Saccharomyces cerevisiae S288C: one gene and its partner. The protein of the gene in region 1 binds, or shares a complex with, the protein of each later gene. Each region holds a gene or a part of one and is shown on either strand. Other genes may lie near its edges. A codon is read from its position in the direction of its gene.

What was found. Proteins that work in one complex are often made in the same cells at the same time.
Region 2: the proteins of SHR5 (region 1) and ERF2 are in contact, whole or in part, in a cryo-EM structure (PDB 8HFC), measured with the Saccharomyces cerevisiae proteins. Residues at the interface, in NP_014531.1 of Saccharomyces cerevisiae: Arg17 (codon at 3,377), Ala18 (codon at 3,380), Leu19 (codon at 3,383), Phe20 (codon at 3,386), Phe21 (codon at 3,389), Tyr23 (codon at 3,395), His24 (codon at 3,398), Phe26 (codon at 3,404), Ser27 (codon at 3,407), Tyr28 (codon at 3,410), Phe55 (codon at 3,491), Pro56 (codon at 3,494), Val58 (codon at 3,500), Tyr59 (codon at 3,503), Ala60 (codon at 3,506), Ala61 (codon at 3,509), Arg62 (codon at 3,512), Phe67 (codon at 3,527), Arg74 (codon at 3,548), Arg77 (codon at 3,557), Phe79 (codon at 3,563), Asp80 (codon at 3,566), Glu81 (codon at 3,569), Ser82 (codon at 3,572), Arg83 (codon at 3,575), Leu86 (codon at 3,584), Glu87 (codon at 3,587), Tyr117 (codon at 3,677), Asp118 (codon at 3,680), Ile119 (codon at 3,683); in NP_013347.1 of Saccharomyces cerevisiae: Tyr115 (codon at 3,611), Ile119 (codon at 3,623), Ala122 (codon at 3,632), Ser123 (codon at 3,635), Ile125 (codon at 3,641), Arg126 (codon at 3,644), Thr129 (codon at 3,653), Leu135 (codon at 3,671), Pro136 (codon at 3,674), Asn138 (codon at 3,680), Ile139 (codon at 3,683), His140 (codon at 3,686), Leu141 (codon at 3,689), Ser142 (codon at 3,692), Gln143 (codon at 3,695), Leu144 (codon at 3,698), Arg145 (codon at 3,701), Tyr148 (codon at 3,710), Gln149 (codon at 3,713), Pro151 (codon at 3,719), Gln152 (codon at 3,722), Glu153 (codon at 3,725), Tyr154 (codon at 3,728), Ile158 (codon at 3,740), Thr159 (codon at 3,743), Leu160 (codon at 3,746), Pro161 (codon at 3,749), Thr162 (codon at 3,752), His163 (codon at 3,755), Ser164 (codon at 3,758).

The regions. Positions count from the first base shown.
Region 1 is NC_001147.6:105,848-111,565, forward strand, and holds SHR5 (Shr5p), read left to right. Parts: upstream 1-3,328; coding exon 3,329-4,042; downstream 4,043-5,718. Other genes in the region: putative serine/threonine protein kinase SKM1, read left to right, coding at 1-446; Rab GTPase-activating protein MSB4, read left to right, coding at 863-2,341; MDY2 (Mdy2p), read right to left, coding at 2,411-3,049; ZEO1 (Zeo1p), read left to right, coding at 4,450-4,791; INO4 (Ino4p), read right to left, coding at 5,584-5,718. UniProt on the Saccharomyces cerevisiae protein: The ERF2-SHR5 complex is a palmitoyltransferase specific for Ras proteins. Palmitoylates RAS2, which is required for its proper plasma membrane localization.
Region 2 is NC_001144.5:623,850-628,697, forward strand, and holds ERF2 (palmitoyltransferase ERF2), read left to right. Parts: upstream 1-3,268; coding exon 3,269-4,348; downstream 4,349-4,848. Other genes in the region: sterol homeostasis protein ARV1, read right to left, coding at 1-34; putative signal sequence-binding GTPase GPN3, read left to right, coding at 354-1,172; methionine aminopeptidase MAP1, read right to left, coding at 1,319-2,482; CDD1 (cytidine deaminase), read right to left, coding at 2,653-3,081; E3 ubiquitin-protein ligase IRC20, read right to left, coding at 4,835-4,848. UniProt on the Saccharomyces cerevisiae protein: The ERF2-SHR5 complex is a palmitoyltransferase specific for Ras proteins. Palmitoylates RAS2, which is required for its proper plasma membrane localization.

The sequences.
Region 1 (5,718 bases):
TCAAATCTGATAATATCCTTCTGAATTCCCAAGGGTTAGTGAAAATTACAGACTTCGGTTTTTGTGTGGAATTAACAGAAAAAAGAAGCAAGCGTGCCACAATGGTAGGTACTCCATATTGGATGGCACCTGAAATAGTGAATCAAAAGGGATATGATGAAAAAGTCGACGTTTGGTCTCTAGGGATAATGCTTATTGAGATGATAGAAGGTGAACCGCCTTACCTAAATGAGGATCCTTTGAAGGCGCTGTATCTGATAGCTAACAACGGTTCACCAAAATTGCGTCATCCAGAGTCAGTGTCCAAGCAAACCAAACAATTCTTAGATGCCTGTTTGCAAGTGAATGTCGAATCAAGAGCATCCGTGAGAAAACTACTAACGTTTGAATTTTTGTCAATGGCATGCAGCCCTGAGCAGCTCAAAGTATCCTTAAAGTGGCATTGAAATTTAGCTTTTTTTTATTTAGGAGAAACAATATATATATATATGTATATACGTATGTATGATTCATATTTTAATCGCATTTTTATTTCATCTAAAACAATTACTCTTTTTGATTATTTATAGAAAAAAAACAACAATGATACGTTTGCTTCGCGTTATGTCAATAGAAAATGTAAAAGGAAAAAGAATGTGTTGCTATTCGTTAGGCGGATTTACGGATGGAAGACATATCTATGAACTGAGCTTACAAACGCTTTTAGCGGGGACAGTTAATCATTTTACGGATGATTTTATAAGAATAAACTATTTTTGAAAAGTTAGGATAGTATTTTGTACATTTGGCACCGAAGTAATTCAAAATCGAGGAAGACTCGCACACTTTTACAATCACAGAAGGCAAAACCCGGCATGACAGGATGATAATGTCATCAACTATGTCGACAGAAGCCGCCTTGGTACCGAACGAAAGTGTTTTTGACACAGTTTCGTCATTCAACGAAGACGATGCCAATTATAGCGTTCTTGATTTATACGATGACGACGATGAAGGGGATGATAGTTCTACAGTAGAACGAAAAGAAATATTGACAACACGTGAGCTTGAAAAAGCAAAGGCGTTTACCAGCTTAATCATGGCAGATCCTGAGAATTTTGATAGATATGGATTTAGCAAGAAAGGATATTTCATTAGTCAGGAAGAATACGACAAATGGTGGACAGAATATAATAGATACACCGAAAGAAGAAAAAAAAAGTGGGAGAACTTTCTTCTTAAGAATAAGATTGAGCTCCACAATGATAATCCTCTAGTATATCCTGCAAGGACAGATGAATTGTCAAAATTTGTTAGAAAAGGTATACCAGCAGAATGGAGAGGGAATGCCTGGTGGTATTTTGCTGGTGGACAACGACAATTAGACGCAAATGTTGGCGTTTATGATAGACTGAAAAGTGACTGTCGCGAGGGTGCCGTATCTGGTAAAGATATGGAAGCTATAGAACGGGATCTTTATCGAACGTTTCCCGATAATATACATTTCCATAAGGAGTCCTTCCAAAATGGAGAGCCGGCGATCATCCGATCATTGCGTCGAGTATTAATGGCCTTTTCTGTTTATGACAAGACTATTGGATACTGCCAATCGATGAATTTTCTCGTTGGATTGCTATTATTGTTCATGGAAGAAGAGAAAGCATTTTGGATGCTGGTTATTATTACCGGTAAGTATTTACCTGGCGTGTATGAATCAGACTTAGAGGGTGCGAACGTGGATCAAGGGGTGTTGGTGTTATGTATCAAGGAATATTTACCCGAGATATGGTCACACATTGAGTCATCGTATATGAATGGCAATGGCAGCACTGACCAGATATCAGGGCCAGCATCGGGGGAAGAATATCTCTGCAGGCTGCCTACGCTGACGCTGTGTACGGCAAGTTGGTTTATGAGCTGTTTTGTGGGCGTGGTGCCCATCGAAACGACCCTGAGAATATGGGACTGTTTATTCTATGAAGAGTCTCATTTTTTATTTAAAGTGGCTTTGGGGATACTGAAATTGAGCGAAAGCGAGTTTTTGGAGAGTAAAAGCCAGAAACTGTTTAGACAGTACTCTTCGTACACCTTCGGTGGTAGTAATGACTCTGATTCAACTTTCAAAAGATTAAAGAACAAGATTAAGACGCAGGAAGAGGCAGATATGGAGATTTTGCAAGTGATTCAAAATTTCCCAAAAAGATTGCTCAATCCGAATGATATCTTTGAGAAAGTCCTGATGAAGAAGAAGGTTGCGTTGAATGGTATTACCCAGGAAAAGATTGATCGCGGTAGAGAGTATGTGGCGATGGCGAGAAATAGACAAAGGGCGAGTAGCCGCCCAAAGGAAAGAAGAAAATAGTAAGCGCAACCGTGATAAAAAGCGCAACTGTGTAAAATAACAAGTATGTACGTACTAACTATACTAATCTTATTTGGCCAGAGACCAGCCTTTTTGTAGACGCTCCATGACTTGCCTAACCGCAGCCTGATCGTTCTCGAAATTGTTCTTCAGAAGAGCCTCGATATCATCCCAGGGCACAGTGAGTTCCTGTGGAGGAGCAGGAGCAGGGGAGTTAGTGGATTTCTCGGCTTCGGGTTCCTTAGATATAGTCGGATTCGGCTTAATCATGACTGTGATTGTGGAATTGGCAGGCGTGACCTTCAAATCCGATAAGAACAGGTTATCGTGGAGGACTTTGCCCTTCAAAAGCAGTTTTATCTCGCTTATGTGGGAGGCCTTTTCCTCGCTGATCAAGTGCTGTTTTATTTGTAAGATAGTATCTGATGGGCTGAAATCATGCTCGATGGAGAACTTGGGAGCTTGAATTTTCTTTAAGGTTAAGTGGACGGCGGCGTTGTCTTGACCTTGCTGATCTTGGTGCAGTTTTAACTTCTTGGCACGATTCTGCTTATATTTATACTTCAAAGTAGGCAACGGGACACCCAAATTGGTAACATCCTTCAGAGGTTTAGTATAGCTTTTTGGTAGCTTCGGTTCAGTTAAAGTGGCTAAGGTCAAGAATTTACTAACGAACTCGTGTTCTGGACCGCTGGCGGATGTGCTCATGATTAATTTTGTATAAAGTTATTATTCTTCGCTAGTTTATCTCTGTATCGGTCTGTTCTAACCCTTTTCTCCAACTATGTTCTCCTGTGCATGTTTTCTTCTTTTCGTTTTTCCTTTGTTTTTTTTGGTCGTAGTTGTCGCAAGCTCGGCCTCCGGCCTGATTTTAAAACTATTCCTAATTCAAGATTCGGTAAAAAAGATATATAATAGCTAAGGGGAGGAGAGGAATAAGAGGAAAAAGTTACATTAGAGGACAATACTCAATCTAACCCTTACTAGATGTGCGATAGCCATCAAAAGGAAGAAGATAACGCAAATACGAGCGAAAGGGCGTTATTTTTTAATTACCATGAGTTTTCGTATTCATTCTACGAAGACCTCGGTTCCGAAGACGCTAAACCCACAGAGCACGACGAAGACCACAAATTGTGTATTACACATTTCCCGAATGTGTATGCTGCTCGGGGCTCTGCCGAGTTCCAGGTGACCCGGGTGGTACGAGTGCCCCGGCGGTTCGATGAGTCTCGCAGCAGCCTTGAAACGCCACAATTTAGTACACAGCTTCCCGGTAGCGAGCCGGCGGCAATCGTGGGCGACGATGGCACTAGCTTTGTGCGGTGCGGGCGTTACGACATTGGGGATCACGTGTTTGGCTGCTCCTCCGTCTCGCCTCTGTCAGAATATCTTAGTGCGGCAGAGCTCGCGGAGGTTGTGCACCGGGTAAACGGATTCTTGCTGCGTGAAGAAGGTGAGGTGTTCGGGTGGCGTAACTTAAGTGGCCTGTTGCTCGATATGCTTACGGGCGGTCTGTGGAGCTGGGTTTTGGGGCCCCTTCTTTCTAGACCTGTGTTTCAGGAGTCTCTCGCGTTAGAGCAGTACGTGGCGCAGCTAAACTCGCCGGGAGGTCTGCTTCACGAGCGCGGTGTGCGCCTAGTATTGCCCCGACGGTCCGGGTGCCTATCCCTAGATTTCGTCGTGCCCCGACCCAAATAGTTAAACGTGTGGTTTATGGGTGCACCAGGGCTTTATCGTGTTTTATATCGATGGCGATTTGTGCCTCCAGTGTATTTTTGTATATCCAATTAAGGTTTCTTACCTAATTTTATTTTTATCATCTTTAGTTAATGCTGGTTTGCTCTGTTTCTGCTGCTTTCTGTGCGGTTCTCCTCTTCTCTTGTTTCTTCGTGTTGTCCCCCATCGCCGATGGGCTTATATGGCGTATATATATAGAGCGAGTTTTTACGTCGAAGATCATCTCAGTTTGCTTGATAGCCTTTCTACTTTATTACTTTCGTTTTTAACCTCATTATACTTTAGTTTTCTTTGATCGGTTTTTTTCTCTGTATACTTAAAAGTTCAAATCAAAGAAACATACAAAACTACGTTTATATCAATTAATAATGTCTGAAATTCAAAACAAAGCTGAAACTGCCGCCCAAGATGTCCAACAAAAGTTGGAAGAAACCAAAGAATCTTTGCAAAACAAGGGCCAAGAAGTAAAGGAACAAGCTGAAGCTTCTATCGACAACCTAAAAAATGAAGCTACTCCAGAAGCTGAACAGGTGAAGAAGGAAGAACAAAACATTGCTGATGGTGTCGAACAAAAGAAGACCGAAGCTGCCAACAAAGTTGAAGAAACTAAGAAGCAAGCTTCCGCCGCCGTCAGTGAGAAGAAGGAAACCAAGAAGGAAGGCGGTTTCTTGAAGAAATTGAACCGTAAAATTGCTTCCATTTTCAACTAATCACACTTGAATGTGCTGCACTTTACTAGAAGTTTCTTTTTCTTTTTTTAAAAATAAAAAAAGAGGAGAAAAATGCTGTTTATTCTGACCTTTTACATAAATTTTTCTTAATTGTATCTATCTAATAACTAATCAATATAATAATAATAATACTAATAATAATAATAATAATAATAATAATAGTAGTAGTAGTAGTAGTAGTAATAATGATGATGATGATGATGATGGATGATCAAAAGCCACAAAAAAGAATGCTCCGAGAATAACCTCGGCGGTTATTTCACGTCCCGGAGGAAAAAAAGTTTGATAAGAAAGTAAAAATATGAGCGGTACGAGAATCGAACCCGTGTCCCCACCTTGGAAGGGTGGGATGATAACCACTACACTAACCGCCCGGGTTAATTGTTATTAGTTGGTGAAACTGATCTCAATCACTATAACATTATGGTCTCTTAATAGCAAAGGCCAACCAACTGACTTCTTGCAAACTGATGTTCAATTTTAGCTCTAAAATAAAACAATGTAAAAGAAAGATAAAATGACATAAAGCACTATCGCTTCAACGGCAAACAATATTGAAAAAGTATCACATTATAGTAAGTTGAACACTAAAAGATTAAATAAATACTTCGGCACACTTTCGATGAAGGAAAGCATTAGTAGTAACGTATATATATCATTGTTGTTGCTACTTTTCTTTGTGGGATATGCACCACTCCCCTCTGCAAAGTGAAGAAAAGGTATGGGAAGAATTTCTTCGCTTATATTACTTACTTTACCCTACTCCTTGAATCACTGACCACTCTGTCCATCACCCAGCTCCCAAATTAACTCCTTCGGTACTAAATCCCGAATGTTTCCATTTTGTTCTTGTACGGGATCGCTGCTGCTGCTGCTGCCGGTTTTTGCCTCATGCTTAGCTATGAT
Region 2 (4,848 bases), on another chromosome or scaffold:
AATCTACGGGCCGCATGCACGTTATGCAAATCATCGTTTATCACAGCTAATATCTACTTTTTGATGCGCTTCATCCGTTCACTGACGCACCAAACCTTCCTTCTATGCAATGACAAGAATTTCTCAGCTTGATTTATGCCATTGATGTTTCTGAATCATCAATTGTTCACATAGGGCTATTCAATTTGGCCCGCTGTCCCTAAACTGAAAAAATACTAAGAAAAATTTTGCAAAAAATCTAAAATGATGAGGTGAAAGATCAAAAAAGAAAGATCAATAATTAAGAGGTTGGCAAGTCATCCTGATCGTGAAAAAAACTTAACAAGTACAAATAGAGTAATCAGCATTGGAAAATGTCTCGCGTTGGTGTCATGGTATTAGGACCTGCAGGTGCGGGGAAAAGCACATTTTGTAATTCCATTATATCACATATGCAAACTGTAGGACGAAGAGCTCATATTGTAAATTTAGACCCTGCCGCAGAAGCTACCAAGTATGAATTTACTATTGACATTAGAGATTTAATTTCCTTAGATGATGTCATGGAAGAAATGGATTTGGGCCCCAATGGTGCGCTAATATATTGCTTCGAATATCTTTTGAAAAATCTAGACTGGCTTGACGAAGAGATCGGGGATTTCAACGATGAATATTTAATCTTTGACTGTCCCGGTCAAATTGAACTCTACACGCATATCCCTGTCTTACCGAACATAGTGCGCCATTTAACTCAACAACTGAATTTCAACCTTTGCGCCACATATCTTTTGGAAGCGCCATTTGTGATAGATAGCTCAAAATTTTTTAGCGGTGCACTATCTGCTATGTCTGCGATGATTCTATTGGAACTACCCCATATCAATGTGTTGAGCAAACTAGACTTGATAAAAGGCGACATCAATAAGAAAAAACTGAAAAGATTTTTGAATCCCGATGCAATGTTATTAATGGAAACGGAAGGAATGAATCAAGCATCCAACCCTAAATTTCTAAGACTGAACCAGTGCATAGCCAACCTCGTCGATGATTTCGGTATGGTTCAATTTTTACCTTTGGAATCTAATAATCCTGACAGTATAGAAACCATATTATCGTATGTCGATGATATAACACAATGGGCAGAAGGACAAGAACAGAAAGAGCCTAACGACCAAATAGATGTCGAAGAATAGTTATAGAGAAAATTATGTACGCTTGATTCATATAAAAAGAGGTAAAAAAAAAAAATAGCTTCTCATAATAACCAATTCGGACTCGGGAAAGTACAAGTTCAAGTTTTTTATTGGTTTCTATATGTATAAGATAAAAATACCTAGATCTATTTAATTCTCTGTCTTGGGCCACCTGGTGATTTCTTATTCCTGGCTGTTAGGATTTCAACACCATGTTCGGTAACCAACAGTGTATGTTCAAATTGAGCACTCAGTTTACCGTCTTGGGTGGTAGAAGTCCAGTCATCAGGCCAGGTCATATCCTTCCAAGTACCTTCATTAATCATAGGTTCGATGGTGAAAACCATACCTGGTTTCATAACACCAGGTGTTCTATTCTTGGCGTAGTGGGGAATATTTGGGGAACAATGGAAAAATTCACCAACACCATGTCCACAATAAGTTCTTACTACACTGCACTTATTTTCGGTAGCGTGTTTTTCAATATGATCACCTAACTCTTGGAAGGTGGTACCTGGCTTACACATTTTAATGGCTAGTTTCAAACATTCTCTTGAGGTCTCAGTAGTATTAAGAGCTTCCTTAGAAATGTTTTCGCCGACATAATATGTCTCATTCAAGTCTGCATGATAACCTTGGTAGTATAAGGAAACATCTAAATTGACAATATCACCTTCCTTCAAGACAGTTTTATCGGGCACACCGTGACAAATAACTTCATTGACAGAGGTACAAAGCGATTTAGGAAAGTTGTAATAATTAAGAGGGGAAGGGTAGGCACCTCTCTTAATTGTTTCATTGTGGACGATTTCATCTAATTCATCTGTAGTGATGCCTGGTCTGACATGGGCAGCGGCAATATCAAGAACTTCTCTACCCAACATACATGCCTTTCTAATCTTCTTAATTTGATCTTTCTTGTATATAGGGATGTTGTTAAGTCTATCATTTCTTTGTTCACTGACTGGTAGCCCATTAGCGGCCCAGTCCGGTTTAGGAATATCTTCAGGGACATACCTTCTTGGGGTAAGTGGATATGAAGCCTTCACTTTACCAGAATATTTGAATTTTGGGAAAGGATCATAAGCACCTTCCAAGCCGTCCTTAGCATTGTGCAAAGCTTTGTGAGCTTTGTAGTTGTTTTCATAACAGCTTGTGTCGCAGAAAATGGAAACGATGCCTTGTTTTAGACAAACAGGGCATTTCATTTGGGACGAAGTTTCTCTACCACATTGCAAACCGGAGCAATATATCTTGGTAGGATGAGAAGCCTGATCGGAGGTAGTAACTGTTGTAGTTGCAGTGCTCATTATACAATTTTTTTGCTTATTTTTTTCTTGCTAGGAATATACACAATAGCGTTCTTGGGATGAATAATAATAATATCAGTTTTTCTTCTTTATATGAAAAATGAAAAAAAAAAAAAATAAGTAAAAAATTTTCGCTTTCTTTTCGGGGAGCAGCCAAATAAAGATTGCTGCTAGTTTAAATGAGATGGACCAAAAGCCATGGGCAGCAGTTCTCCCATTGTCATGACTTTAGAACGAGAACCTGTGGAATTAAGCATGACTATTGGAAAGTCCTTGACCACAAATTCATTGATAAACTGCCTGCAAACGCCGCAAGGGGAAACACACTGGTCCTCAGAATCGCCACAAATGACCATGCATTTCCATCCTGAGCGATGGCCTGCCATTAGAACTTGTATCATAGCAGATCGTTCTGCACATATACAATTACTGTAGCTTGCATTCTCGACATTAGCACCAGTGAAGATAACATCGTTATTTGTTAATATGGAACAACCGACACGGAAGTGAGAATAGGGGCTATAGGAGAGTTCACACGCCTTCAGTGCCGCCCTTTTTAAGGCTTCCAGTTGTCTGTCTTCTATGCCACCTACTTTCATTACCTTATTTCTCTGCTTGAGATTCTCTGTTTGGTTTTCCTAGTTTCTTGTACATAAACAGTTTGTGTTTATTTTGTCAAACTACTCGGAAATTGGCGAGCAGCGCCTTATCAAGATTACAGTTTGCAAATATAAAAATGTAAAGGAAAGAAAGCGTAAGGTAACAAGAAGAGAAACGGGGAAGATAATGGCCTTGGTCTCTAGAAGGTCGACAAGATCGGAAAGCACCTCAATAACAAAGGAAGAGCATACAGGAGAAGGTTCATTGACGAAGTTGTTCTTCCGATGGCTTGTTACCTTGGAGGGTGATCAGGATATAAACGATGGAAAAGGTTATATATCGTTACCGAATGTCTCGAATTATATATTCTTCCTTGGTGGCAGGTTCAGGACAGTAAAGGGCGCCAAACCGTTGTGGTTAGGTGTTCTCCTTGCTATTGTATGTCCCATGGTTCTCTTCTCCATATTTGAGGCTCACAAATTGTGGCATACCCAAAATGGTTATAAAGTGCTGGTCATTTTCTTCTATTATTTTTGGGTCATAACGCTAGCATCCTTTATCAGAACAGCCACTAGTGATCCTGGCGTTCTTCCGAGAAATATTCATTTAAGTCAACTAAGAAATAATTATCAGATCCCGCAAGAATATTACAACTTGATAACACTACCAACACATTCTTCAATTTCAAAAGACATTACTATCAAGTATTGTCCATCATGTAGGATATGGAGACCACCTCGGTCTTCTCACTGTTCCACATGTAACGTCTGCGTAATGGTTCATGACCACCATTGCATATGGGTCAATAATTGCATAGGAAAAAGGAACTACCGGTTCTTTTTAATATTCCTGTTAGGTGCAATACTTTCGTCCGTCATATTATTAACTAATTGTGCCATCCATATTGCACGGGAATCAGGGGGGCCTCGCGATTGTCCCGTTGCAATATTGTTACTTTGCTATGCAGGGCTAACCTTATGGTATCCGGCAATACTGTTTACTTATCACATATTTATGGCAGGTAATCAGCAAACAACAAGGGAATTTTTGAAAGGTATTGGATCGAAAAAAAACCCTGTATTCCATCGTGTGGTCAAGGAGGAAAACATATATAATAAGGGGTCCTTTTTGAAAAATATGGGTCACTTGATGTTAGAACCAAGGGGCCCAAGCTTTGTAAGTGCCAGAAAGCCACATGAAGCTGGAGATTGGAGATTTATGGATTTATCGCCAGCACACAGCTTTGAAAAAATACAGAAAATATAAGGAAGTATAGATATAAAGAACTCAGCGACACAGTAGTACGTAAAATATAAAAAGGTTACTGAAAGGAGTGAATTCCGCCATAGTATAGGTTGAGTATACGCAAATAAACGTTGGAAATTGGCTAGAATGTTAAAAAAAACATTCATTAAAAGGTTCTTTTCGTATAACTTTTACAACAAATAAGTGGTTGTTTGGCCGAGCGGTCTAAGGCGCCTGATTCAAGAAAATATCTTGACTGCAGTTAACTGTAGGAATACTCAGGTATCGTAAGATGCAAGAGTTCGAATCTCTTAGCAACCATTATTTTTGCCTTCCGAAAATTTTGAAGCTACATATTAGCACTCTTCTTCAGATGTCAGACAACGTGCAGCATCTTTTTTTCCTACCATTGAATATATATATAGTAATTACGGCAACCGTTTATATAAAAATTCAAAAGATTAAATATTTTAATATATTAGTGTCTGGTTTAAAAGTCATACTTCTCTAATCACTACCGT